Diceros bicornis minor: one gene and its partner. The protein of the gene in region 1 purifies or fractionates together with the protein of each later gene. This does not show direct contact. Links are inferred from orthologs where the notes say so. Each region holds a gene or a part of one and is shown on either strand. Other genes may lie near its edges.

Region 1 (9,282 bases):
CAGCAAATAAATATATAACATGTCAGATTGAGGTAAAAGCTATAGAGAAAAATAAAGCTGAGTAAGGGAAATGGGAGTGTGTGTGTGCATGTGTGTGTGTGCACGTGCATGCATGTTTTATAGAGAGGCCAGGGAAGGCCTTATTGTCTTGTGTTTAAGTGTTTCACAGTTGGTCCTCCACAGGCCGTCTGCGGGCTCTCTGGAGGTAGAAATAGTCTTGCTCTTCCCAAACACCCAGGGCCCAGCATAATGCAGGGCTCAAGAGTAGTCCACCAATGAGTCTGGTTTTTCAAGATCCCAAGCTCCTTAACAGCACAGAACCACCTTTCTCTTTCTCTATACCCCCCCAAATATTTACCCTGGAACATGGCTAGCATTCAATAATCCCTGGAACTCATTCTTGGTCTCCAACTTTCTCCCTGGCCCCGCCCCTCTCATCTTAATTGGCTCCTGGGTCACCTCTCCATGTCAGGATCACCTTTTCCAGCCGGGTCTCCAATTCTGACACTTCGGCTTCCACCAACTCGATAGAGGCTCTGGGAAAGGAGGGGTGGGGTCACAGGAACAGAGCTTGGGTCCATCTGGTCTGTCAGCCTCAGCAAGGTCAGGGATTGGGGTTAGGGAGTGGAGGTACAGACAGAAAAAGTGGAGGGGTTAAGAAGAGCCACCCACCCACCCTCTTTTGCTCAGCTCACTGCGCAGTGTAGGAGCTGCTGGCCCAGGCCAGAGCAGGAAGGGTAGGAGGGAGGGTGGATGTGGCGAGGGCAGGAAGTTGCTAACCGCCCAGAGCAGGTGCTGGGGGAGGGGCAGGGGTCTGGGTGAGGAGGAGGAGGGAATGCCAGCTCTGGGGGTGCGAGAGGCTGGAGCAGCCCCCTCCACATGCAAGGAGTGGAGAACATCAGAGCACCCGGTTTGATAGCAGAGGTCCTACTCTGGCCCCAAGCTCCATCTTGTCCCTTTGAGACTTACTCCCTGGAAGGACGTCTGGCCTGGGGAAGGTTGTGTGTGAGTGCGTGTGCATGTTGGGGGTTGTCGGACTACTCCCTCCCTGCCCTCCAGACCTGCTCGCACTTACCGGAAGCGAGGTGAGTCCTTAAGACACTCTTCGAAATCCAGCTTGACCGTCATCTCAGCTTGACTGCTCGGAGGCCAGTGGGCCCTGGGGCCCAGCAGGTGGGGATGCAGGTAGAGGCACTGCCTGCCCCAGAAGGGGCGTTGATGAGGAAGGAGAAGGTCCTCTCCTGGGTAGAGCCTGGGGGGGCGCAGATTTTTCCCCAAGGGGAATGGGTGTCCTAGGAGGAGCTCTCACCCCACACTTCCAGGCAGTGCTGGGAGGGGCAGAGGCGGGGCCTGGGCAGAGGAGAGGGGCCTGAGATCAGAGAAGCCACAGCCACGCCCTCAGGGACTATCTGCTGTCACCTTCCTACTGGGGGCCCTGGTCTTTCTTTGCTTCTTTCTCCTTTAGTGGTTGAATTTGAGAGGCCTGGCAGATATAGTTTCAAATCCTGATTCTGTCACTTAAAGGTTGTGTGACCTTGGGCAAGCTCTCTGATTCCTCAGTTTTCTCATCTGGAAGATGGGGATGATAACCCCTACCTCCAGGGTTGTTGTAAGAAGTAAAGATGATACCGTAAATTTATGGTTGACTGAATCACACCAATCACTGTCATCCTGCTACAGTTGGGCCTTCTCAGACTCCTAGGTTCTTGTTGAGCCCAGTTCCCCAGACTACTCCAAGCTTTCTTCTCTGCTCAGCCTGCCCTTGGTTTCCTGTGTGTGAATTTCCCTCCCTCCTCCCCTCTCCTCAAGGACGGAGCAGGCCCAGCCTGGGTCCCCAATTCACAGCACCCAGAGGCCTGCTCTTCTTCTCTTTATTGTCCACTCCTAGGGTGGTGAGGGCAGGGGAAGGTTGGTCCCCACCCCCTTCCCAGCTGGCTACATTTTCCATTGTCTGGCTTCCTCCTCCTGAGTCCATCGAAGCTGCACAGTTGTATCTGGAGAGAAAAGGGGTTGGGTTAGTAGCTTTTGTGCAGCAGGCATGAGATCTGGCCCACGAGACCCACCAGATTCCCTAGAACCTACCCACTCAGCTCCTCTCCCTCCCTGGGCAGTGCAGGCAGCCCTTTGCCCCCACCAGGGCTCAGGCTCATGTCTGTGCTGGTTCAGTTTTGGGGAGTTTGGGTTGCTTCCAGGTACCCTCTTTGAGCTTTCTGGGCTTCGCCAGTTCAGCCCTTTGGACACCAGCCACTGACACCCGCTTGGGACCTACTGTCTTTGGAAGACAGGGCAGTACCTGGAGTAGGGTGGGTGGCAGAGAGGAGTCAGGGAGGAGGCATGGGGTCAGCAGGTGATGCCAAGCTGGAGAGGATCCCAACCCTTCTGAGCCTCCCTGGTTCCTCTCCGTACAACAAGGGCCTTGCACACTAGGATGTTTATGGTCTCTCTTAGCACCTGTTGCTGGTCTACTGGCCTGAAAGGGGTGGGGGTTGGGGGCATGGGAGCTTGCCAAGAGCCAGGCCCAGTGAGATGGTGGCCTGGTGTTCTCACCAGGCAGCAATGGTGTCACTGTCACCGTCAGGGAGTTCTCAGTAGCCTTGGGATCCTGAAAGTGGTTTCCTGTGTGGTCCAGCAGACGGACCTCAGTGCTTATGGGATTCTCCATCATCCAGTTCAAGCTTGTGGAGCCTGGAAGCATCATGGGGTCAGGGTTGCGGCATCCATCAATCTGTTAGTTCTCAGCCCTCCTGCCCCCAGGCTGACCCGGCCCAGCTCTCACTGTCCTGCTGCTCATCTTCTGTGTCCTCCTCAAGCTCTGGGTGGGGAGAGCGCCTCAGGTATCTTCCCTTGCTATAATACTCCTTGCGTTGCAGATCAATCTCCTGCTCTAACACGATGGTGGCTGGAGCTGGGGACTGATTTCTGGAGGTAGGGAAATCTGAGGAGTCACCCAAATCAATCTGAGTCTCATACCTAGCGTATCCAGGCCCCTCAGGTGTCCATTGTGGCCCCCACCACAGGAGAGAAGCTCAAGCCCCAGGTTCTCATCTCACTTCTATCACCTCCTCCCATTTTAGAAAACCTCAGTGACCTCCCCATCCCCCTGGTTCTCTTGGGCATTCTGTTCCTCCTCACCAGCCAGCCTCCCCTAAGACTACCTTGATAGGGACCCAACCCCAGCTGCCCTCTGTCTTCCCTGGGTCACCTCCCAGCATTACCTCCCTCTTAGGCAGGGCCCTGGGCCAATGCCCACTGAGGAAGACAGGCTATGGTGGAGAAGGCTCTGGACTACAATTCCTTTGAGTCCCTGGGGCCCCGCCATAGCTAACCCTTGGCTTCTAGGATGTAGTTCTTGGTCATCAAGTCAGTCTCAACTTTGACTCCTCTGGCCAGTCCTCCTGCCCAGCTTCTCTCCATAGGTCTGGGCTCTGGGCTCAGCATCACACCTCGACTGCCACCTCCCATACTGACAATACTCCCATTGCTGTTCTTGTTATTATCCAATGGCAGGTTTTTCTGAGCCCTAAGGAACTTTCCTTCATCGTAGTGTGCCTTGCGGCGCTTCTCAAAAGCACTGGAGTCTGTGGGCCAGTGTAAGAGCTTGGCTTTCCCTCCAGGCTCTCGTTGAAGGTTCACTCCGCCTCCCCTTTTCATTCAATCCCCGACCCTCATCTCACGTGTCTTGGAAAAGTTGTCTGAAGACCCTGAGCTTCTGTTATCACTGTACTGGAGGACCTTGGGGCAGAAATTGTCCATTGTTGCAAACCTGAAGGGAGGGAGACTAGTTGGGGGCACCAAAGGAAGAGAACAACAATGGTGGCAGGTGATAGATAGGGCCAAGCTGGCTGACTCCCCCACCTTGGCCTTGGTCAGTTCTGACGGGAATTGTAGTCAAAAAAGCAGAGCTGGCTCAGACCCCAGAGTTCAGGAGTGGAAGGAGGAAGAGGTCCCACAACCCTGCTGAGCTCTGGCAGGACTCTCACCTCTCCGCCAGCTCTTCGGGAGTCATTGTGCGGGAGGAAACCTCAAGTAGGTCCTCATTGCTGTCCTGCAGCCTGCAAAGGAAGGAGCAAGCAGTGCTGGGAGGGAGGCAGCAGGCAATATCCAGTCCCTGCAGCCTCTCAGCCTCCTCCCCGTAACCCGCCTTTGAACAGGGAAGAGAGTCTGGGTTGACGGGCTCAGCACCTGTGGTAGGGAGTGCTGGGCTCATCCACCTTCATAAATCCGTAGTCCTTGTCAGCAGGGTGGTAGGTGGCCGGGATATTCATTTCATCCCAGCGCTGAGACTTTTTCCTGGGGTGGGGGAAGGACACAAAAAACGAGGAGGAAGCCTAGTGACCTCTTCTCACAGCCCTCCCTCATTCTTTCAGTCATTCAAAACCTTTTTCTTGCACCCTCTTTGTACTTCCAGAGGCGTAGGAGGCCTAATGATAATCACTTACAATGTAGCCAGGGTTGGTCCGGTACCTACCGCTCTCCCGCAAAGGCCTGGAAACTCAAATTTCCCACCCAATCGCCCTCACTTACTCTCACTTATAGTTCTCAGGACTCCGCCCCTTCCCTCCTGGCTCCACCCCCTCAAAGTGTCCGGAACCCCACCCTCCCGGCTCCGAGCGGCGTGCCCACTGAGCTGGGCTCCTTACTTCTCCACACTGGGGGATTTCTGCATCGAGATGGAACTGCTGTTTTTGAGGATGCCCCGGGGCCGGTCCTCACAAGGTTTGTGGGGGTGCAAGAAAGTTGACCCAGGGCGCGAACTGCTTCCCGAGTTGTACACCCCAGACCCCCTGGACCCAAGGCTGGACGTCCCGGATGCACGGGTTCCAAGGAAGGGGGGATTAAATCCGCCAGGGTATGTGCCGGGCCCATGGCTGTGGCCCGCAACCTCCCCAGGGTGCTGGTTGGGCCCGGAACCAAGGACCGCTACCCCCTCGGAGGGCCGGCTGGAACGAGGACTGCGAATTACGACTCCCCCGGAGTGCAGGGGGGGGCCAGAAACGTGACACAAGACTACTTCGGAGGGCGGCCTGGCGCCTGCCTCGACTCCTCCAATGCCTCCTGGCACTCCCCTGGTTGCCCCTCCAGGGGATTCCCCGTTGAGGCAGCCGGCAGCCCCCAGAGAGTCCTGCTTCTCCATGGCCCCGCCAGGGGGCCACCCTCAGCTCCCCCGCCCCGCCACCCTACTCCACATAGCCCCGCCCCTTGAGGCCCCGCCCCCACCGCGGAGGGCGGGGGACGCTCGGGCTGAGGGCCGCGTCCCCTCCCCTTCGGCTCCCTGGAGCCGCGGTGGGCGGGATCAAGAATCTATCTATATAGGGACCTCAGGCTGGGAGCCCCTCCCTCTCTGTCCACCCAAAGACCTTCTTTCTTTGTCTGTAGGATTTGTTCCCGCCCTTCTCCCTCATCCCCGCCCTCATCCGAATTGTCCAATCATAGTCAGAGGTCCTGATGCGGGAGCGAGACGACTTAATTGTGACGTCACAATCCTCCAACCGTAGCGCGAGCATCGGGGAGTTGGGCTGGGGCCTTACTAATAGCTCTGGGGGATCTTTTGGGAACGTCAGCATCGTTGCTTGAAACTGCCTTCCAGGGTTTCTTTGGATTTTTTATTCGCGGCTTTAAAATCTAAGAGTTTGGTTGGATTGCAGTTCAAGGTGGGCTTGACTAGAAACAGCGCCAACCTTTTCTCCACCAAAAGTCGGCCCGCTTTGCCTCTCACGAGAGGTGATGCAAAGTGGAGGGATTGCGATACTGCTGTAAGATATATCCGCTCTCGGCGGTGTGGAGGGCAGAGATTTTCATTTATAAAGCTACCAGTTCCCTTCCTTGGGTCTTCCAAACCCCGCTCACACCGCTTTCAAGCGCATAGCGGGAAGGGAAGACGACTCCTCCTCTTGCCGTAAAGCGAACATGTCTAGGTGTTGCCTGGCTTGACGAGGGCGGGGTCGTCGGTGCCGCTGTCGCAAAGCCGAAAGTGTTTGGACGCCAGCACCTCTCCGTCGTAAAGATGCCTGCGGCAGTTGTTTCTCCCACTGTCGCAAAAGCTCCCTGCTCAAGTCTTCACCCTTCTCGGAGCCACTCCGTCACCTCTCCGTGCCGTAAAGCAAACCTGTCGACCCCGTCGTCCTTCTGTTCCCACCGTGGTAGTCTTAGTTCCCTAGCTGCCTAGGGATGCTTCATTGCCCAGCGGTGCCGTAAAGCATATCTGGCCCTAGCCCCTGGTCCTATTCCCTCAGGGAGTCTGTGCACCGCGGTTGCCACGGTGCCGCCAAGCGCGGCTGTCGCGCGGCCCCGGTGTCAGCGGCGATGGCGGCGGGGTCGGGTGGGAGTGGGGGCTCTGGGGGAGGCCCCGGACCGGGACCAGGCGGGGGTGGGGGCCCCGGCGGGAGTGGCCCAGGGCCGGGGTCCGGCGGGGTTCTGGGCAGCGGCGGGGAGCTGCACCCGCGCACTGGGCGCTTGGTGAGCTTGTCGGCCTGTGGGCGTATAGCGCGGCGACAGCAGCCGGGCCAGGAGTTTAACCACGGGCTGGTGTTGAGCCGGGAACCCTTGCGCGATGGACGCGTCTTCACCGTCCGCATCGACCGCAAGGTGCGGAGCTGGGGCCGCGGAACCGAGATGTGGAGGGTGGTGGGAAGGGACCAGAGGGAGACGGAGTAGGACAGCCAGGGTAGCCCACAACACCGGGTATCGAGAGGAAACCGACAGACCTTAGGTCACCAAGTGACAGGCAGAAAGGGAGTCTGAAATAGAAACATTCAGTCTGAAGGAGAAGGAAACAAGGAGAGCTTGAATTTGTTCAAGACCTAGGAGCAGGGAAGGGACAGGGGGCCTCACCCACTGGAATGACTAGGGAACAGACCTCCTGGAACAATTTCTGGGAGATGGAGATTGGTGAGATGTTGGAGATGTGATGGGAGAAGAGAGATAACCAAAGAAAGAACAAACCATGGAAGGACAAACTCACCGGTTGGACTGGAAAGATGCGTGAGAAGACAGAGGGAGGTGTGTGTACTCGTGTGTGATTTAGTGAAGAGGCCTGGCGCACAGAGGTGGAATTTGGGAACATAGTGAATCTGAGTGGAGCCAGAGCCTAGAAGAGAATGATATACAAGAGCAAGGAATAAATATGGGCATGGAGAGCTGTGAATTTGGGTGGTTGAGGAGCCCCAGAGACCAGGGAAGTTAGGGCAGGGGACTGGAGCCAGGGAATTTAGCCGGCATGGTGCGGAAAGGAGTGGTGTCGTAGACACTGAGCACCTAGAGTACCAAGCAGAGTTGCTAAGGGAAACTGGACCCAACAATCCCTGAGACAGAGTCGAGAAAATTACTTATGGGACCGCATCTCTGGATTAGTGTCTCACATCTCAAGAGAGAAAACCCATTTAGCTGTCTGAGAGATGGGAACAGGGGGATGCAGTGGCCTGTGAAATGTTTCCTAATGGTGGGAGACCCATTCATGACCCATCCTGAGTTTCTGTTCACCACCCGTATCATAGGTCAACTCCTGGAGTGGCTCCATTGAGATTGGGGTGACGGCACTGGACCCCAGTGTGCTGGACTTCCCAAGCAGCGCCACGGGGCTAAAAGGGGGCTCGTGGGTAGTGTCGGGCTGTTCGGTGCTGAAGGATGGACGTTCTGTGCTGGAGGAGTATGGTCAGGACCTGGACCAGCTTGGCGAAGGAGACCGTGTGGGCGTGGAGCGCACGGTTGCTGGGGAGCTTCGGCTCTGGGTGAATGGGCGGGATTGCGGTGTGGCTGCCACGGGCCTGCCCACTCGTGTCTGGGCCGTTGTGGACCTTTATGGCAAGTGCACCCAGATCACCGTGCTGCCCCCTGAGCCAGGCTTCAGCCCCCCTTCTCCCATCCCCACACTCCCCCTCGAGCCCTCTGCCCCCCCTGAAGATTCTGCTTTGGCTGAACAGGGGACCTCTGGAGATGAAGGTGAGAACACAGGGCAGTAGTGGAGGAGTGGGGTGGAGGGAATGGCTGAAGGAATGGGGGAAATGTAGTGACAAGTGAGGCTGGGTGTGGGCAGGGACACTCAGACCCCAGAGTCTGTTGAAGGGGAGAGCAGGGGCTAGAGGAGGGGGTCTCCTGGCTGTGGGCCCTACAGCAGGGGCTGAACCCTTATTCCCCTCCCATCCCACCTGGTCCCCAGCCTTCATGGTGTCCCCAGCGCAGGCCCGGCCAGAGACGTTTCCTAACAGCCTTGAGTCGCATAATGGTGAGGGCTACGGGGAGGCCCTGGGAATGGGAGTGGGAAGTGAGGTGGACAAGGGAGGGATCTCAGGAGAGGGGTAGGGAGAGAGGGGCAAGCCTGAGGATGTAGAGCCTTATTTCAGCTTCTTTCCTCTGTCCTACTGCTGCAGACTTTGCCAGCATGGAGCTCTCTGAGGTGGTGAGCAACGCCATCCTGTCTGCCTACAATGGGGGGCTTCTAAATGTGAACCTAAGCTCCCCATCAGCAGGGGAAGGGCTGGGGTCGAGCGGTGCTACCACCTCACCCATCCTCACTTCCAACGACGCCCTGCTCTTTCATGAGAAGTGTGGAACCCTCATCAAACTCAGCAACAATAATAAGACAGCTGAGCGCCGCCGGCCTCTAGATGAATTCAACAATGGGGTTGTCATGACCAACCGCCCGCTCCGGGACAATGAGATGTTTGAGGTGTGCAAGATCCTGGGATCTGGCTAGCACCTCGCCCTCTGGGAGCTAAAGATGGGGCTTGATCCTTGACGCTGGAAGGGTAGGGCCTGGGGAAGAGCCAATGGCTAAGGGTCCTTTCTCTGCATTTACATTCTCTGCCTCTCCCTTCTGCTGTCACTCTACCCAAGATCCGCATCGACAAGCTCGTAGATAAGTGGTCGGGCTCCATTGAGATTGGTGTCACTACCCACAACCCCAACAATTTGGACTACCCAGCCACCATGACCAACTTGCAGTCAGGTACCAGCCCCTGGCAGGGTGGGGGTATGGGCCTGGGGTCGGTGAGGTGAAGGAAGCCCAAACTGTAACCAGGGTGTCGGCTTTCCCCCAGGCACCATCATGATGAGCGGCTGTGGGATCCTGACCAACGGCAAGGGCACCCGCCGAGAGTACTGTGAATTCAGCCTGGATGAGCTGCAGGTGAGGGTGGCCATGGGGTCTGGGCCACTCTCCAGGGGCCCCGATACTCTGCATCCCTGCCTGGGCACCACGGTCCCCTCTGTGACCTAAGGCAAGGCCCTCTATCTTTTGCTAGAAGGTTCCCTCTGAGAAGGCAGGGTTGTCCAGCAGTTAGGCAC
Region 2 (9,824 bases), on another chromosome or scaffold:
CTCCGACTTTACTGTCGACACTACAGACACAGCTAAAATCCTCCCCCCTTCCTCTCCAGAGGTAATTGCCCACTTAAAGCTGATGTGCATCATTCCCATATCATTCCATTATAGGTCTTTATATATTTACTACACACTTAAGCACCCACAAACAACATACAGCACGGTCCTAGTGCATAGGAAGCATTCAATAAATGTTAGCCATTGTTAGTTACTGTGTGTTCTTTTTAACACATTTTTAATCGTAATATAGTCAAATCTATCACTCGTCCTTTACGGGTGGAGATTTTTCTATCTTATTTAAATTCTTTCCTACTCCCATTTATAAAGATATACAACTATATTTTCTTCTAGGCTTCAAAGTTTGATTTTCACACACGTGACCAAGATTTCCCCCCCTAAAAATCCCAATTCTATCACTCACTGTGTTGTCTAGTTACTTATAGTCTTCTAGTCTCAGTTTCATCATTTTTAAGATGATACTCTAACGATCCTAAGAGTTGCTGTGAGGATTTGGAAATAATGCCTGTAAATTACCAAGCTTGGTGCCGGGCTCAGAGTTGGCACTCAAAATAAGCTATTAAGGATTAGAAGAACACTTATGCCTCAGGGAAAAAGTCATTACAATAATGCTTACATCTGTACTGGTTAAAAGGTATACCTTTCCATAAGATTAAAAAGTATATCTTTCCTAAGTTAAAGACAGAATTAATGCCCTGGTAAAACAACATGGGTTCCATATTTTACCACATAAAACTAGATCACATTTTCAGTATTCATAGTGCATGCTTCTCTCATTATAACACAAATGTTATCCTTATTCCTTGATGGGGCACTATAATTAGGTTCAATTATACTTTTATTCATTAGGGCCATCCTTATTTGGCTACAACACAAAAAGTAACAATGGTGAGACTATTTTAGCAAGTGAACTAGAACTAATGAGTTCATTTATTTGTCTTTTCTGTGTAGTTTATTAAGGCCCCAAACAAAAGCTCTATAAAACAACCACCATATTAATTTCTTAGACCAGATCTTCTATGACTGCATTCAACTTTCTTTACCAGTTATAGAGGCAAAAAGATGAACCTGATTCTAATTCACATGTTAGTATACACTTCATACTCATCTTTTTATTTATTTAGAGAAATGTCTTACAATAGTATTTTTGGGGGGAACACACCTTACCTCTTTCAAGTGTTTCCTTATATATCTATTTTATAATCTATCAGAAATTCTACCACTGTCAGAACGTCTTCCCTGAGTTTTCACGGAGTAAAACTTTTTTTTTTTTTCAAATGTTTAAGGATATAAATTATGAGCTGTAAACATGTAAAGGGAGGAAGAATAGGACAAAAAACAAACTTTGATGGAAATAAACTACAAATTTGAAGTCAAGCGGGAGGATGCGACCTTGTCTTCTGCAGTCTGTATTCAGAATCTAAATTCTATTACAGCTAAAAAGTTCACTGATAATGACCCGATATTCGAACAAGGTGAATTACCACATCTCATTTCCTCTTAAGACCAGTAATCAACTTGGCACGATGTTTATTTATGATTATTACACACATTAAAGACATGCTCAACCTAAGCATACAAGGCATGAATGGAATTTAGCTATAATTCTCTTGCAACACGAGGGGATATGAAACACTCTATGTGTATGTGTATTTCACATACATACTTCCTCGTTTAACATGACTTATATTCACTCAAACATATTCCTAGCCAAACTACCATACCCATCGGTAAATACTTATGAATACCTTCTGTGCTCAATTAACAATGAGTTATACTTTAAGGCAATTTACACAAGGTAAGTAGAAATGGAAGCCAACGACAATTATGTGCTTTTTTTCCTATGGTAATTATCATCTTTCTTTGCATGACAGTTCTATCTCCTGTGTAGCTAGCTGTGTTACTTCATGCAACCTCTCTGGGTTTAGGTTTAGAAGGTAAAATACACTCTTCAATATCTTTAGATTTATTTTTAAACAGAAGGCTAGAAGAGCTGCTCTGTCTCCCTTCCATCACAAAGAACCAAAGGGAAAAAGCATAAGAGAAGTTTAACTGGGTTTATAAACGGTCAGGTGCCCTCTGCTCAATTAAAGCTGCCTTCCTGACTCCCTTCTTTCTTCAGACTTAAATTTTTCCCTTAACACTTAAATTTTACCTAAACGATTTTAAACAATCAAGCCATCTTTAGATTCTTGGCCTAAAGAGCTTACATTTGTGGAGGTCTTATCATGGGCCACACACTTTATGTGGACTACCTCATTGAATCACAACCTATTAGGCGGATATCAATATTATTCCCATTTTACGGATGGGGAAACTGAGGTCACGGCTGGGACTAGAGTGAGAAGTGCCCTAGGGTGCCGCGCTTCCCACACCCTAGTCATGACTCTTGACTGGGACACTGACAGCTTAAGTAACTTGCTCATTACACAACACTGTCTGTCCCTAGCAGGACACATGACAGTCAGTCCAAGTTTTTACATCCCAGGACATATTCTAATCTATGACAAAGAGCATTGAGGCTTGGAATCAGAAGGTTGAATTCTAGAAAGAGCTGTGGTTTGAGCAGCTTTCCTACTCATTCAATGTTAAAATGTCTCAAAGAAATGAGAGGATCAGATATATTTCTACAGATGCAAAAGTGGCTAGGCAACTGAAAAGCTCTCTTACTATGCGAACGGTCATTTTCATGTCAGGAGACTGCCAGGAGAGCCTTGTGACAAGGGGAGGCAGAAACTGATTAGAGTCCCAATGCCAGGATTGTCTGAGGATGAATGTGTGTGTCTGGGGGGAAGGTGATAAGGAGATGACCTGGCTAGTTTGGAGGACAAGCAAAGACAGCTCTTGTGAATGTGATCCACTTAGAATAAACTCAACCACTGACCAAGACTCTACTTAACCTGGCCACATTTCCTACCTCATTCACTAGCCTTTGCTCTGTTCCTTGAAGTCAAGCCACATATGCTTATTCTGTTATCTGAACATTCCAACATCATTCCCACCTCAGGACCTTTGCACTTGCTGCTCCCTTTTTCTGGAACACTTTTCCCCCAGATCCACAGCCGGCTCCTTCTCGCAATCTTGGTTTCAGTTCAAAAGTCACTTCTTCTGAGGATTTCGCTGACTATCTGGAAATAGCATTAACTGCTTTCCCCAGTCATCCCTCATTCCATTACTCTATTTCTTCATTGCACTTTCGCTTGCGCAGTGCTTGGCACATAGCAAATATGTAAGTATGTGAGTATTTGCTATGTTCTATAAATACTCGAAGTCGGGAGATTTTCCAGACTTCAGAGGGATCGAGAGCCACAGGAACGTATTTCTTGAGGACGAATGGGGAACCGGGAAGGCTATCACGCGAAGCCTGGGGAATCTGCGGAAGGACAAGCAGAAGTCCAGCTCCCCGGAGGGGCGCGAGGCGTGGGGGGCTCACCTGCCGAATGGCCGCCAGCGTGTTCTCGGGGGCGTCGTGGCCGCCGCCGCGGTGGGCGATGGCGGAGACGCGGTTCCGCGGCTTGAGCACCTGCAGGGCCCTGCGGGAGGGCACCGGGTCGAAGCTGAAGAGGCGCAGCAGGAGGTAGAGGCTGCCGGTCAGGAGGCAGGCATTGAAGGGGCTGCGCGTCACCAGCAGCAGCAGCAGCAGCAGGAAGGAGAAGGGGCCCAGGAGGCCCCCCTGCTCCTCCCACAGCCACATGCCGGCGCCCGCACCGGCACGGACGGGAGTCCCGGGCCCGCCGGGCTCCCCGGACAGGAGAACCAGAAGCGGGAGCGAGAGCTCAAGGCACCGGCCGCAGCTGACACCCTCCGAGGGGCCGAGCGCCGCACAATGGCGGCGGCGGCCGCAGCGGGAGAAGGAGCCGGCCGTCCAGCCAATCAGGGCCGGGGAGCGCCAGCTCTCGGGGGCGGAGCCGCTGCCATGGCAACGCAGGCGGGCCCCGGCCCCAGGCTCGCGTTCCAAAGTGGTTTTGGATTATTCCGGGGTGGGGCCTTCAACCAGGGCTTTCAGACTCGAGAAGGGGAGGGATGCAAGACCCATTGTACGGTTGCAGGACTTGGAGGGACCTTAGTGACCCCTTCATTCCGCCTTCGAGGAAACTGCCCGGGGAGCCTTGAAGGAGCACAACGCTCAGACTATTTATGTATTCAATTCAAGATGTGCCAAACACCAGTCCAGGTGCTTGGACACGGCAGTGAACAGGACCTGCACGGTCCCTGCTCTCGTGGGGGAAAATAATAGTGTTAGGGAGCACGCCAACATTTATAGAGCACTTACCGTATTCCAGGTTCTGTGCTAGCGAATATTTTATGCGTTATCTCGTTTATTCTCACAACAGCCTCAGTGGGTAGGTCTTATCTCAGGAGTGAATGAATTCAGTCGACTTTAGAAGGATTTTTCAGATTCTGAGGGAACGAAAGAGCATAGCAAAGCAGGTACAATCGGATTATAAAGCTGGAAGGGATTTTAATGATTCCCTCGTTTTATAGATGAGGAAACTGAGGCCAGGAGAGGTGAAGAGAGTTGAGCAGTTAATGGCAGCGTCAGGACTGACTCAAGCCACTCCAGTTTTAGGCCAGGTGACTTTTTTTTGCACTGCTACTCATCCTCGTAACCTTACTTGTCCTTCTACTATGGGCTAATAGTAGGGCTTATGCACCAGGCACTGTGCAAGAATATCTCAGTTGTTCCTCACAGCCACCCTTGTGATAGGCACTTTTAAAACTTTCATTTTATATATGCAAGTATAGGCACGGGAAGCAGGGTCAGTAAAAGAGGCAAACGGTAAAGCCGAGTTAGCAAATGAAAGCGGCTGCTGCATTGTATTTTGGAAAGCTGGTAACATGTTGTTTAGATAGAGAACTCTGGTAAAACATTCGGGGCTTTTTGGGCCATCTTGAATCTGTTACCTTTCTTGGACGTTTTTCCCACTGATTTGCGAAAGGGTCAGGGATGTCTTAAGGCTTTGAGTTGGCATTCTAGGATTCAGCAATATTTTATTTACAGAGAAAAAATTTCGGTGAATGTTGTATCTTTTCCAACGACCACACAGAATGAGGTTATATCTGTACGGATAAGTGAAAAATAGCAACTTCAAGGAACATTTCAGGCGGCTTCAGACCTGGGGCGTTCCCATATAATAAATTTTACCTGCAGAGGCCTCAGCTCGTAGTGAAGACTACGTTTCCCAGCGTGCACCGCGCTGCCCGTAAGTACTACTCCCTTCATCACTGGGCCAGGGCGCGTACCCAGGCGCGCAATGCACCTCGGGGATTGTAGTTTTCTGGAGGCCCAACGGTTCCAACAGCCCGGGAAGCAACCGCCGGAAGTGGCGGTGGGGAGAGGTGGAGTCCGAGCAGCGGCGGCGGCGGTTGCCAGGAGCCCGCGTTGCCGCCTGAGACCCGTAATATGGCGGGGAGGAGGAGGAGAAGGCGGCGGCGGACCGAGCTGCTCTCTGTCTGTACCGATTGAGCCGTTGGCTTCCTCACAAGGCCCGGGGCGAGGGGAGAAAACCTGCCCGGGCCGTGGGAGATCAGGTGTGTGCGTGAGGAGCGGGCTCGATCCTCAGCCGGTCCCGGCTCCGAGGCCACGGGCAAGGCGGCATTGGCGCCCTGAGAGCTGAGGGCGGGCTCTGGACAGCCCGAGCGCGGGTGCTGGGCCCCCGGGCTTCGAGACCCTGGAAGGGCGCCGGGTGTCGAAAGGTGGGTGCCCGGGCGCGGAGGTGATGCTCGGATGCTGACACCGCCTGGTGGGCCCTCGGGATGGAGCCTTCCAGAGGAGCTGGGGGAGGTGGGCGTGGGGCGCTGGGGCAGAGGATCCCCTGTAAATAAACTCGGGCCAGAGCCGGGGACCACCTCCTGTTGCTCAAACAGTGTGGGGCGTTTTTCTTCTACGATGCTGGCGAGGGAGGCGTCCCCGGGGTGAGCACTGGACATTTCTGAAGGCCGGTGACCACAACCAGAGGCCCCAGGAGCGCTGTTTACTCTGCCTCTGCGCCTCTCTGGGGCATAAACATGAGGATAATAAAGCAAGTTCTCTTGATTGCCCCTGATGCTGCTAGGTGGTTCCCACCCTTTGCTTCTGTCTGGTTGTCATTCCAGTTCCCTATCCCCAGTTTAGGCAAATGGCAGGCGCCTAGAGATTGATTTAATGGGGAGCGGTCTGGAAACAGCGAAGGGAGGAAGCCGTTGACCCCCTTTCCGTGTTTTTAAGTTATATTTGAATTTTGCCAGGAACCAAGCACTGTCGCTGCCCTCCAGGAGTTCATAATCTAGTGATAAAAATCCTCCTCCTCCTCTTCATAACCAAAGCGGCCCCATTTATTGATGCTCTCTGCATGTCCTGCAATATAGTAATTGCCACGCGTGTATTAATTCATCGAATCCTCATAGAATCTCTTTGAGACAGATACTCAGATTATTCCTATTTTACAGATAAGGAGACCGTATAGACTGCATAGAGATGGTAAGTGAATTGCCAAGAACATACAGCTAGTGTGGGCCTGAATAAGAAACTTTCCCCTTTATTACCTCTATAAGACGTTTATGTCTTTGGGAAGACTGATGGGTAAACAACCAGCTAGGATCTGAAAACAAGGCCAGATCTGTTCTGTGCTACTTTTACCATTCCCTTCAGTGACATCTCTGGGAGAGCACTGCTGAGGAGCAGGTAGCAGGACCATGAGTTTGCGGGGTTTGCAAAGAGGCTCATTTGGAGAAGTCATGGTATAAATGGAGAAATGAGACATGTCTGAACTTGATGCAGCTGACAAATTATTAATTCAAGTGGACCAGTAATGCCTGGTGGTAAAGTATGGGGCAGTAGATTTGTGCTTGGCGTGGCCTTGTAGTCGGGGCTCCCTTAAAATAAAACCCTGCTGACAGAGGTAATTGTGGTGTGAGAGACGAAGTGCCTTAATATAGGATACGGACGCTCACTTTTTAAACGGTTGCCTTTGCAGTTTAGAGGTACCGGCTTCTCTGAGAATAGGGTCATCCATGAAACTCCATTCTCTCAATTCCCTTCTTCCTTGCTAGCTTCTTTGCTATGTAGTCCACTCTCTTTTTTCTCCCGGTTTTCGTTATTGTTTGAGCTAATTACCCTAATTCATTTATTCAGCGCTTTTATCAAATGCCGACTGTGTGCTGACAGTGTTCTGTGTGATGGGGCTTCAGTGGTGAGCAAGACTGAGAAAGTACCTGTGCTTATGGAGCTTACGTTTTGGTGGAGGAAGACAGGCGAAAACCAAGGAAATAAGATAATTTCAGATAGTGGTAAGTGCTATGAAAATTGGAAAACAGCAGGGCAATGTGATAGTGACTGTCACAGGGTTAATTTAGATGGGCTCGTCGGCGACACCCTCTCCGAGGAGGCGACATCCAAGCTGAGACTGAAATATAAGAAGGATCCAGTCACGCTCTGGGATCATTTGGTAATTTCCGTAATCACCTTATTGGCGCTTGTATTTGGGTGGTGAATGCATTATCATATGCTATAAATTATGCTGTAATAATAATCTCTTACTGTGGATCTGCAATACGTCTGACATACATGTACTGTTAAAGGGATATGAATTTAACTTTCTAAAGCATGAGGCATATATCTTCATGATGTTGCTGAAAGAAAAATAGAACTATTGCCATAAAGATATTTTATTTCCTTAAATTTCTCAGACCTTTAAAATAGAATTTCATGTTTGCTTGTGTATCCATACGAAGAATATTACATTAATTGTATGAGTCAGCTATTTATGTTCTCTGTAATGCTGGATGCATGGGCTGTGGTAAAAAATATTTTGAAGTATTTTAGCAGAAATGGGGTCATTTGAATTTCTCTTACATCTTAGCTTCTGCGTATTTTGGTTGTTAAGATATAATGTGGGTTGAAATCCAGACTGACAAATGGGGCCTTGCTATGGTTATCGTGCAGTAAGGTGTTATGTTTGTTTTTTACTTTTGTTTGTTTTATCAATATTGGTTTGCAGAATAATCTCATACTCTAGAGAACCATTTCTTTGAAATTAAACTCTCACTTGGAGTAAATTTAATATAGAAATAATTAGAATGGATGAGATGGTAGGAAGAAGTTTTGTTATTAATAAAACTAGCTGTTGGTCAAAATTAGCAATACATCTTATTTTTTCATAATCTAATCATAATTTTGAAAATGCTTTTTCTTCATTTCTAATTGCACTATAATTTGTCCCTGACACCTTAGTGTACTGAATTTGTAAGTACTTTGAGGTTTAGGACAGTATCATATTGTATCTTCATCTTTGCATATTTCACATCATGAATTGAATTTCTCTACCCTTTCTTTTTTTTGTTAATTAGTTAATTGTTTTAAGATGAACACTATTTATGGTATCTTAAAGGAACATTATTGTATTAGGTTTTCTGTTTTTACAGTTTGTACCCTTGGTGGTTATGATTTTGATGATGTCTCTTTATTTTCCCTTGCTTATTTAAAGGAAACAATGCCAGACATAATGCTATGGAAACAAGCAATCAAATATTTCATGCTTCCTAGACGAATGAATATGCTGCCTAATCCTTCCTGGTTACCTTGTATTTTCATAGCCACCCTCACAATTTTTCAGAAATTGTGCAATTCCTGGGCTGATTGTTTTAAGTAGTTTCGTGATAGTTCCAATTTTCAACAATAAAATGGAATTAATACCAGAGCCAATAGATGTTCTATTTTCTACCCCTGACTGATTTGGCTAGTGACCATGGAGTAGAAAAGAAATTCTTAAGATATGTAAGTATAACGGACTTTGAACTCCATGATAGAAAAAGAAGTTTTGAAAGTAAATAGCCTCTTTTATTTAAATAGCCCTTATTTCTTTTTTTTGGCTACAAAAGCATTTTTGCCTTTTATTTTTTACTTTTTCTTGTGCTGTGTAGATAAGTCCTGCTAAAGAAAATATCTATTTTATAATCTGAAGTTAGTAAACTGGTACAGAACTTTGTTTCCTTTAAAAAGGAAACTTCACTGGTGAGTTCTTAGTACTTTTCTAAACTAATCACATTTAAATATTGATTTACATACAAATGTTCAGAAATATATAATATATGAACCAAGGCTTCACTGGGTAGTATCGTGAGGTGCTTACTTATAACCAGGAATTAGCTTCTGATCAGTGAAACCATTTTGGGAAGCCCAGTTTTAGGAATTGTGAATTCTAGGAATATTTCAGTGCTCTACAAAATTGGCCCAATAATTAAGATCTATTTTTCTCATTTTTGACATTTTTTTCTTTTGTAGTGTGATTGTGGGAAGATGGAGGAGTATGAGAAGTTCTGTGAGAAAAGTCTTGCCAGAATCCAAGAAGCATCACTGTCCACAGAGAGTTTTCTACCTGTCCAGTCTGAAAGCATCTCGCTTATTCGCTTCCATGGAGTGGCTGTGCTTTCTCCACTGGTAAACTTTCTTTTACTTTAAACAATCTTTTTTTCTGTAGTGAACCACTAAGGTAGTTCACAGAAAAACAAAAGAAAGGCTTATAAACATTGAAAAGATGCTTAACCCTTATTCATAATTAAAGAAATACAAATGAGTTAGCATTCTTTACCTACTAGATTGGCAAAGATGTGATAGGACCTAGTGCGTCTTAGTTTGTAGGGAAAAGGCACTTACAAGGGACTTTTGCTGAGATTTTATTTTTTGGTGAGCAATTTGGTAATGTTTATCAGAATTTAGAAGTGTACAAAACCTTTGCCTCAGCAATTCCATTTTTGGGAATATCTTACAATTATGCTCGTCTGTATTCTTGAAGAAATATGTACAAGGTTACAGTAGCATTGGT

The links. The genes of interacting proteins can lie anywhere in the genome.
Region 2: the proteins of NEURL4 (region 1) and CCP110 purify together in Homo sapiens (affinity purification with western blotting; 4 studies listed by BioGRID and IntAct, with this or other methods). This does not show direct contact. The link is inferred for Diceros bicornis minor from reciprocal best matches to the Homo sapiens genes NEURL4 and CCP110.

Annotation. Positions count from the first base shown.
Region 1 is NC_080757.1:10,961,118-10,970,399, forward strand, and holds the start of NEURL4 (neuralized-like protein 4), read left to right. Parts: upstream 1-5,267; 5' UTR 5,268-6,303; coding exon 6,304-6,585; intron 6,586-7,493; coding exon 7,494-7,938; intron 7,939-8,155; coding exon 8,156-8,221; intron 8,222-8,366; coding exon 8,367-8,665; intron 8,666-8,832; coding exon 8,833-8,944; intron 8,945-9,035; coding exon 9,036-9,124; intron 9,125-9,282. Other genes in the region: ACAP1 (arf-GAP with coiled-coil, ANK repeat and PH domain-containing protein 1), read right to left, coding at 479-536, 1,076-1,128; uncharacterized protein LOC131416984, read right to left, coding at 2,226-2,293, 2,548-2,685, 3,675-3,763, 3,981-4,052, 4,183-4,290, 4,641-5,134. UniProt on the Homo sapiens protein: Promotes CCP110 ubiquitination and proteasome-dependent degradation. By counteracting accumulation of CP110, maintains normal centriolar homeostasis and preventing formation of ectopic microtubular organizing centers.
Region 2 is NC_080765.1:32,859,929-32,869,752, reverse strand, and holds the start of CCP110 (centriolar coiled-coil protein of 110 kDa), read left to right. Parts: upstream 1-5,371; 5' UTR 5,372-5,553; intron 5,554-6,450; 5' UTR 6,451-6,481; intron 6,482-7,135; 5' UTR 7,136-7,290; intron 7,291-7,300; exon of another isoform or gene 7,301-7,448; intron 7,449-8,486; 5' UTR 8,487-8,707; coding exon 8,708-8,776; intron 8,777-9,283; coding exon 9,284-9,439; intron 9,440-9,824. Other genes in the region: GDE1 (glycerophosphodiester phosphodiesterase 1), read right to left, coding at 3,455-3,715.